Linked DNA regions of Macaca mulatta. The protein of the gene in region 1 interacts with the protein of each later gene in a biochemical or structural test. Links are inferred from orthologs where the notes say so. Each region holds a gene or a part of one and is shown in the gene's direction. Other genes may lie near its edges.

Region 1 (3,500 bases):
TCTGAATGAGAAAGGTGAGTGGGGTAGACAGTAGTACAAATTACAGCTCATATCTGACAGATTTTCACAAAGATTAAACCAAATCTACATAAAGTGTTTAACGTAGTACCTTTCATGTACTAAATGCTTTTTTTTTTTTTTTTTTTTGAGGCAGAGTTTTTTTTTTTTTTTTTTTTTTTGAGACGGAGTCTCGCTCTGCTGCCCAGGCTGGAATGCAGTGGCCGGATCTCAGCTCACTGCAAGCTCCGCCTCCCGGGTTCACGCCATTCTCCTGCCTCAGCCTCCCGAGTAGCTGGGACTACAGGCGCCTGCCACCTCGCCCGGCTAGTTTTTTGTATTTTTTTTTTAGTAGAGACGGGCTTTCACCGTGTCAGCCAGGATGGTCTCGATCTCCTGACCTTGTGATCCGCCCGTCTCGGCCTCCCAAAGTGCTGGGATTACAGGCTTGAGCCACCGCGCCCGGCTGAGGCAGAGTTTTGCTCTGTCACCCAGGCTGGAGGGCAGTGGCACAATCTCAGCTCACTGCATCGTTCATCTCCCAGCTTCAAACAATTCTGCCTCAGCCTCCCCAGTAGCTGGGATTACAGGCTACAGGCGTGTGCCACCATGCCCAGCCTTTTTTTTTTTTTTTTTTAGTAGAGACAGGGTTTCACCATGTTGGCCAGTCTGGTCTCAAACTCCTGACCTTAGCCTCTACTAAATGCTTAATAATTTTTACCTATTATTATCCTCATCAAAGTTCCAACTCCTAGTACAGCGCCTGACACATAATAGGCATAATTCAATGTTTGCTGTACTTTTCATGTGAATCAAGAGCATCATTTCTAAATAATCATTTGAAGAAACCACTTTCTCATTGAATATTGAGTAATTCACACAACTATTATGGAGAACTCACTGTGTGCCAAGCACTGTAGTGGGTTTGGGGAATATAAAAGTAAACAGTATGTGTTCTGCCCTTACCAAAATAATGATTTCGTGGGGGAGATATATACAAGTAAAGCAGCAGTTACTGTAGCTTCATAAGTATAGGGGTTAAGCAAAGAGAACTATCAATGTGCCAGCACATAGCTGGATGTGGTGGTGCGTGACTGTAATCCTAGCACTTTGGGAGGCTGAGGCAGGAGGGTTGCTTGAGACCAGCCTGAGCAACATAGCGAGAGCCCCCCTTTAAAAAAAAAAAAGCCTGTGTTACATAAAACCTCTCTAGTATTGGTTTGTTCTGCTTTTCCCCCTTACCCCACATGTCACCATGTAAATCTCCTTTGAATTCTCACCTTTGGGAGTTTTAGCTGTCTTCTCTTTGCCTGGAAAGCTGAGCTCTCTCCTTGTAATTCAGGTCTCGACTTAAATATGACCTCCTTGAAGAAGCCTCTCTTGGTCCTCCAGTCTCAAGTAGCTATCCAGTTTCTCTCTGCAACATCCACCTGTTTAAATTATCTACATGGCTTGTGATTTTTCAGGATGTATTACTGTTTTATGTTTTCTTATTTAGTTTCTGTCAGTTTCATGAGAGCAAATAATTTGTCTTGCTCTTGATCCTCCTGCTGCCTGCACCCAGCTTTTTTGGTGTTTTAGAAAAGGCTAGGCCAGGCGCGGTGGCTCAAGCCTGTAATCCCAGCACTTTGGGAGGCCGAGACGGGCGGATCACGAGGTCAGGAGATCGAGACCATCCTGGCTAACACAGTGAAACCCCGTCTCTACTAAAAATACAAAAACTTAGCCGGGCGAGGTGGCAGGCGCCTGTAGTCCCAGCTACTTGGGAGGCTGAGGCAGGAGAATGGCGTGAACCCGGGAGGCAGAGCTTGCAGTGAGCTGAGATCCCGCCACTGCACTCCAGCCTGGGTGACAGAGCGAGACTCCGTCTCAAAAAAAAAAAAAATAGAAAAGGCTATAAACTTGGAGTCAGGGGACCTAAATTAAATGTTGGTTCAGGCTGCATTTTTTACTTCCTGTGTGCTCTTAAGAAGTCATACCATCTCTCTGAACCCAGTTTATCTTGATTTTTGGTGCTGTATTATTAAAGCTTGCTGTATTATTAAAGCTTGCTGTATCTTTCGGGATCTCAAGACTTTCCTAGTCCAAGGCTGTGTACACTATGTTACCTTCCTCTTGTCTGTTACTGCATAATTAGTGCCTTGTCCTCCACTAGATGGTGGTGGCTTGACCCTGTGTCATCTTCTTGGATTTTCCCCTCCCTCACCTCACTGTTGTTTCAAGGTTTTGTATAGAGTCTATAGGTGGTGTTGAGTGATAGGAACTCCCCTTGGATTAATTGACTTCTCTGCTTCTTTGTAGGTGGATTGCTCAGGTTATGACCTGGAGCAGTTACACATCAAAGTGACTTCACTGTGCAGTCGCATAGAGCAGATTCAGTGTTACAATGCTAAAGATCGCCTAGCTCAGTCAGGTAAGCCTCTAATCTCCTCACTTTTTCTGCCTTCTTGCTTCCTGTTTTTATCTTACACCCCACCCTCAGTGCCTGCCACCGTTCTCTAGACCCATGCTCAGTGCTTAACTCTAGTTTTTCTCTCTAGACATGGCCAAACGTGTAGCCAACCTGCTGCGGGTGGTGCTGAGTCTGCATCATGCTCCTGATAGAACCTCCGACTCAACACCAGACCCTCAGCGAGTCCCTTTGCGCCTCTTGGCTCCCCACATTGGCCGGCTCCCCATGCCTGAGGACTATGCCATGGACGAACTGCGCAGCCTTACCCAGTCCTATCTGCGAGAACTCGCTGTTGGGAGCCTGTGAGCCCCAGACTCTTTGCATCACACTCACATGCCCGTTCACACTCACCACACAGAGGTTCCCTGCCTTGTTTGGATTGGCACTGTTTGCCATTCTCTGGGTTGGCTATGGCATCTGCCCTCCTTCCCTGCTGCCACAAGCAGCATCCTCCAGTTGTTCAGGGCTTTTCTTAATACTAAACATAGCATAAGGGCTTCTGGAACCCAGAAGAGGAGACAATTCTCTTTTTACCATCCTCAAGACCAGTGTTTTTCCTTTTAATAAATGGTCAATAAAGCTCCTTTGGCAGAATCCCCCAAAGAACCAGGGAATCCTTTTTCACCCCTAGCCATTCTGGATCTTGTGACCCTCCATGCCAACCAGCTACCCTACTCCTACCCTGGCCCTTTTATGCTAGGACTCCTTAGGAGGAGTGAGACAGGTAGTAATGGATCCTTAACAGGTGAACTATCCACAGAAGGAAGAGGGATCCGTCTCTTAAGTAATTGGTTAGTTAACACTGAATTTTGGAGGCAGAGGAGGGTTGGCCTGAGTTAGGAAACAGAATGGGATCTTTCTGACACACTTAGGGCAGAAGTGAATGCCTGCCATGGAGGGATTGATCTTCAGAGCTTCTTTTGTTCCTGCCTTTAGTGTTCCATGAACACCATACCTTTGCTACTACTATGTGCAGGAGCCCTTGGTCATATGTGACATGTCTATGGGAAGCTCCCAGAATTTGGTTTGGTCCCTGGTTTTCAGTCATCTT
Region 2 (3,500 bases), on another chromosome or scaffold:
GTGGAGACGAGGTTTCACTTTGTTGACTAGGCTGATCTCAAACTCCTGACCTCAGGTGATCCACCCATCTTGGCCTCCCAAAGTGCTAAGATAAGTGTGAGCCATCGCACCCAGCCAATGCGCTATAATTTAGAAGATATTTTTATTTCAATTCTTTGATATTGTTTGAATAGATGCCTTGAATGCCCTCTCAGCATGATTTCAGGGAGATACATTTGAAGGAAAGAGAAGCAAAGAGTGTTAAAATAGAAATTCCTTTAGGGCCTTTTACGGTGGCTCACACCTGTAATTCCAGCACTTTGGGAGGCCGAGGCGGGCAGATCACCTGAGATCGGGAGTTTGAGACCAGCCTGACCAATGGCGAAACCCCCTCTCTACTGAAAACAAACAATTAGCCGGGCGTGATGGCAGGTGCCTGTAATTCCAGCTATTCGGGAGGCTGAGGCAGGAGAATCGCTTGAACCCAGTAGACGGAGGTTGCAGTGAGCCAAGATTGTGCCATTAAACTCTAGCCTGGACAACAAGAGAGAAACTCCATCTCAAAAAAAAAAAAAGAAGTTCCTTTAGAAGATTTTTCATCGGCCGGGCGCGGTGGCTCAAGCCTGTAATCCCAGCACTTTGGGAGGCCGAGACGGGTGGATCATGAGGTCAGGAGATCGAGACCATCCTGGCTAACACGGTGAAACCCCGTCTCTACTAAAAAATACAAAAAAAACTAGCCGGGTGAGGTGGCGGGTGCCTGTAGTCCCAGCTACTCGGGAGGCTGAGGCAGGAGAATGGCGTGGACCCGGGAGGCGGAGCTTGCAATGAGCTGAGATCCGGCCACTGCACTCCAGCCTGGGAGACAGAGCAAGACTCCGTCTCAAAAAAAAAAAAAAAAAAGATTTTTCATCAAAGTTGTATAAAATGTTTTGGAAAATTATTATCTTTATTTTAGTACCACTCCAGTTGCTGAGAGATTTTTCACCAGTTCTACCTCTCTGACTCTAAAGCATGCTGCATGGTATCCAAGTGAAATACTGGATCCCCACATAGTGCTGTTAACATCAGACAACGTAATAAGGTAAATTTTATTTTTCTCTCTCTTGAAGCCTTGCAAGTGGGAAAGCTCTGTTTCTGTTTGCCAGTTAACAGCTCAACATAGAACAAAGTGAGTCATTGAATGAGTCTGCTTTTATCTGATGGCTGTTGTAACCCATTCTCAATCATAAGAATCACCTAACTGCCCTAACTTACGTGCCTTACTTACCACTATTCCTTCTCAACGAGTCTTCCTGCCTCCAAGTATCTCCTTTCCTAATCTGACACATTAGAATAATCTTTCCAAAACTCTTTCATCATGTCACCTTTTGGTGATAATGTAGCATAAAAGAAAGAGAATATAAGTATAAATTCAGAGATTTGAATTCTTGTCCCACCTCCTCTTCTGTTATCTTTGAGATCTTGAGCTTCTTTTTAGGGATGGGGGTGGCTCAGTTTCCAATCTTTTAAGTTGAGCAGGTTTGATTCAATAGTTTCTAAAGCCTCTTCTAAGCTTTGCACTCTATTATTAAATGCCCTAATGCTATGTAGATTTCTACTATATTATCAGTTAACTTTCTGGATCGTTAATTGGGAGGACTCAGCAGAAGTACAGATACCTTCAGTTTTATTTTTCTTAATCACTGCTTTTAACTGTGCTCTACTAAATCTTCCTTCACTGCTGAACGGCTCCCCCCTTAATGGTGTCTTGTACAGATCCCCATAGCTTTCTTGTTACTTCTTGTTATGAAAACAGTGTGTCCAGTTTAAAACTCTAATCTTGGCCAGTTGCAGTGGCTCACACCTGTAATCCCAGCATTTTGGGAGGCCGAGGTGGGAGGATCACTTGAGCCCCTGAGTTTGAGACCAATGTGGGCAACGCAGTGAGATCCTGTCTCTGCAGAAAAATTAGCTGGGCATAATGGCATGTGCCGGTAGTCCTAGCTACTCAGGAGACTGAGATAGGAAGATTGCTTGAGCCCAGGAGTTTGAGGCTGCAGTGAGCCATGATCATACCACTGGGTAACAGAGTGAAACCCTGTCTAAAGAAAATAAAAATTTCAAAAGCTATTTGATCTCAAATCTATTTCACAACTATGTCCTGGCCCTTTTGTAGGTCAGACCTGTGTTTTGTGGGATCAGAAGCGATTGGAGAGTGTGCGGTCTGCTCTTTCACTCTTCCTCTTATCCCAGCACTTTGGAGCATAGGGTGAAGTGTAAGGAATGGGCTGCCTCCTCCTTCCTCCAAATCTAACTCCTTCAGTGTGGGGTAGGGGAGTGGGATAGGTGAGGTAGAGATCTTACCAAACTGGTAGTGATGGGGAAGTATGCCTGATCTTGTTTTAATCTCGTTCCATCTGTCACCAGTGAACTCCGCTGATGTGGTAGTCTCTGTATAGATGGGGGTGTGTGTGTGTGTGTGTGTGTGTGTGTGTGTGTGTGTGTGTGTGTGTGTGTGTTGGAGGGCAGTGTTGAACTTCCAGCTCTCCCCATCACTGAGGAGCTCTGGCTCCCATTGGCTCCTGTCAGTTCTCTATGCCCTGAATCCTCTCTCAAGATGGGGTACAGTATACCTTATCTGCAGGGTGTATATTCCAAGACCCCCCAGTGAATGCCTGAAACTGTAGATGGTACTGAACGTGATATGTGTGTATTGCTATGTTTTTTCGATCTAATAACTGAGACAGCTACTAAGTGACTAAGGGGCATTCAGCTAGGAAATGCACCAGTCTCCCTTGTTACAGGTACCTCCACATCTGGCTCTTTCCTAGAGCCTTCCCTGCCCACCCGTTTGGCTTTGGAGTTCAGGGCAGAGAAAGAGGGGAGGGAAAATCTTCCCAGCACAAACATTATACTGTACTCCGAAGGACTCTTTGACATCCTCTCTTCTTAGTCTTCCTTTTATATCCTATGATGGAAAAGGAGATGGTGGGAAGATAACGTAGGTACAGTTCTTAAGCCCCAGAGGAAGTGTCTGGCCCCAGATATTGAAGGTTCTTTTTTAAAATATGTGGTACTTAACACTTCTGTTTTCCTAAGCTTTGGAGATTTTGGGCAATTTCAGAGCAAAAGGAAATTTTCACCGAATGCCCTGTTACACTTTCTTTTTCTTTCACTGTTCCCCAATACAACATTATTGTCTAGTATTTATGTGTATTTTCAAGTTAGTAACGCTTGTAGGAACCTAGGAAGACTGTAATAAATGTGTATTCAAATGGATCAAATTATCATGAAAAACATTTATTAACTACTTAATGTGGCATTTTATTGATATTAGAAGAAACCAAGTTTAAAAATTCTTAGTGGCGTCAGACAAAATAAGTGATTGTAAGGGACTTTGGATTTCTAAAATGACATTACTGGCCTTTTGAAAATTCTTTCCCTTTTTCACAATAGCCTTATATGCTGTGAAATATAGGTTACTTTAAAATAATTTTGGTTAAAAAAAATCAGTATCATACTTTACCTTGAGAAAATAG
Region 3 (2,264 bases), on another chromosome or scaffold:
AACTCCTGACCTCAAGTGATCTGTCTGCCTCGGTCTCCCAAAGGGCTGGGATTACAGGCCTGAGCCACTGTGCCTAGCCTTTTTAATTTTTTTTATTTATTCTTTTTATTTTTTTGGAGACGGTCTTACTCTATCACCCAAGCTGGAGTGCAGTGGCGTGATCATAGCTCACTGCAATCTTCACCTCCCGAGTTCAAGCGATTCTTATGCCTCAGCCTCCTGAGTAGGTGGGACTATAGGCACGCACCACCATGCCCAGCTAATTTTTTTTTTCTTTTGTATTTTAGTACAGATGGGATTTCACCATGTTGTGCAGGTTGCTCTCGAACCCCTGAACTCAGGTAGTCTCCTACCTTGGGCTCCCAAAGTGATGGGATTACAGGCGTGAGCCACTGCACCCAGCCCTCTGCTTCTTTTTCTCATATTTCTTGAGTTTTGCAAGGGATGGGATTCTGCAAAAGTGTTGGGGGGAAGAAACCCAACATAAGTGCTTTCTGTATCAACCATGAGTGGCAGGTCCCCTACCCGCTTCCCATCCTCACAAGCTAAATTGGAGGATTGGGGAGTCAGAATTCCTGTCACTTGTTCTTGTTGCTGATTGGGGAAATTTTTTTACTTCGCCCCTCTGGTATCAATAGCTAAGGAAAAAGTTACATTTGTTTCTTCTATATTTGCCTATAGGAAGAGGAATATTTGTCTCTTCTGTCGACTTGAGGAATGACACATTAGTCAAAGGAAGAATAATTTGATATAACTATATGCATTTAGTTATCCAGCTTGGACCTTGTATGATAGGGGTATAATAGTTGGAAATTTTGAAAAAGGATGTAGTCCTGCCATATGAGGGACAGGTGCATCAGACCGTCTCTTTTTTTTTTTTTTTTCTTTTTTTGAGATGGAGTCTCGCTCTGTCGCCCAGGCTGGCATGTAGTGGCGCAGTCTCGGCTCACTGCAAGCTTCGCCTTCCGGGTTCACGCCATTCTCCTGCCTCAGCCTCCCGAGTAGCTGGGACTACAGGCATCCGCCACCACACCCAGCTAATTTTTTTGTATTTTTAGTGGAGTCATGGTTTCACCATGTTAGCCAGGATAGTCTCGATCTCCTGACCTCGTGATCCACACGCCTCAGCCTCCCAGAGTGCTGGGATTACAGGTGTGAGCCACCGCGCCTGACCAATACCTTCTCTTTCTTTTATAGCGGATGTGATGCTGGTACAACCCAGAGTAGAATTTATTCTGTCTTTCATTGACCACATTGCTGGAGATGAGGATCATACAGATGGAGTAGTAGCTTGTGCTGCCGGACTAATAGGGTAAGTTATACCCTGCTTCTAAGAGCTGAATAGAACTTCTCATGGAAAATGAGAAACATGGAGTAAGGAGTTTTGAGAGTATCGCAGATGGCAACAATTCACTTCTTTGGCATAGAGATTTCTTTGTAGAACCCTTCATGTCCTGTTTTGAGTGTTCACATGATAGTTTATTCCAGACCCTCAAGGTCTCTGTATTACACCCCAATAAACTCTGATGTTGGTCAACAAATTGCCTCTGTTTAGTGAACTCTACTGAGGGTTTTATTTATCTTTGAATTATGCTAAGAAACCCATAGCACTGGTTTGGAAGGCTCAAAACATGATATTGGTATGGGGCCAGGAGCTCATTCTCAGCTGTGTTTGTTTTGCACAGGGACTTATGTACAGCATTTGGGAAGGATGTACTGAAATTAGTAGAAGCTAGGCCAATGATCCATGAATTGTTAACTGAAGGGCGGAGATCGAAGACTAACAAAGCAAAAACCCTTGCTACATGGGCAACAAAAGAACTGAGGAAACTGAAGAACCAAGCTTGGTAAGATCTTGCCTCCACTGTCCTCTTCTACTTCTTGGAGGAGGGAGGTATATTTTCTTCAGGCCATTCTGGCAAGCACTGCCTTCTGGCATTTTTTTGTTTGTACTGTTTCCCGTGTAGGTGCTTCTGAGTCAGGCAACCTCAGTTTTTCCTTGAGCCAAATGTTTGACTCCTCATAGTGATGGAGAGCAGAACTTTTATAACTGGAATTCACTGAAATTACCAGAGTATTTTGGGTCCTAATAAAATCATCAGTAATGTCATTTCCCCCTAATTCTCTTCTGTTTTCTATTCCTTTCCATTCTTTTCTTTCTTTACAGCAGTGCTTTTAGACGTTTTCTAGCTCTAGAGAAGATTTCCAAAGTCAAAGTTGTCTGGCTCCTACTTTGTTTTTGTGTGTGTGTGTTTTTTCTTTTT

The links.
Region 2: the proteins of NUP98 (region 1) and NUP88 form a complex in vitro, tested with the Homo sapiens proteins (2 studies listed by BioGRID). The link is inferred for Macaca mulatta from reciprocal best matches to the Homo sapiens genes NUP98 and NUP88.
Region 3: the proteins of NUP98 (region 1) and KPNB1 form a complex in vitro, tested with the Homo sapiens proteins (3 studies listed by BioGRID). The link is inferred for Macaca mulatta from reciprocal best matches to the Homo sapiens genes NUP98 and KPNB1.

What each region holds. Positions count from the first base shown.
Region 1 is NC_133419.1:72,131,707-72,135,206, forward strand, and holds part of NUP98 (nuclear pore complex protein Nup98-Nup96), read left to right. Parts: intron 1-454; exon of another isoform or gene 455-1,609; intron 1,610-1,743; exon of another isoform or gene 1,744-1,889; intron 1,890-2,298; coding exon 2,299-2,410; intron 2,411-2,537; coding exon 2,538-2,755; 3' UTR 2,756-3,500. UniProt on the Homo sapiens protein: Plays a role in the nuclear pore complex (NPC) assembly and/or maintenance. NUP98 and NUP96 are involved in the bidirectional transport across the NPC. May anchor NUP153 and TPR to the NPC.
Region 2 is NC_133421.1:6,911,484-6,914,983, reverse strand, and holds part of NUP88 (nuclear pore complex protein Nup88), read left to right. Parts: intron 1-937; coding exon 938-1,063; intron 1,064-3,500. UniProt on the Homo sapiens protein: Component of nuclear pore complex.
Region 3 is NC_133421.1:62,351,647-62,353,910, reverse strand, and holds part of KPNB1 (importin subunit beta-1), read left to right. Parts: intron 1-1,197; coding exon 1,198-1,312; intron 1,313-1,685; coding exon 1,686-1,847; intron 1,848-2,264.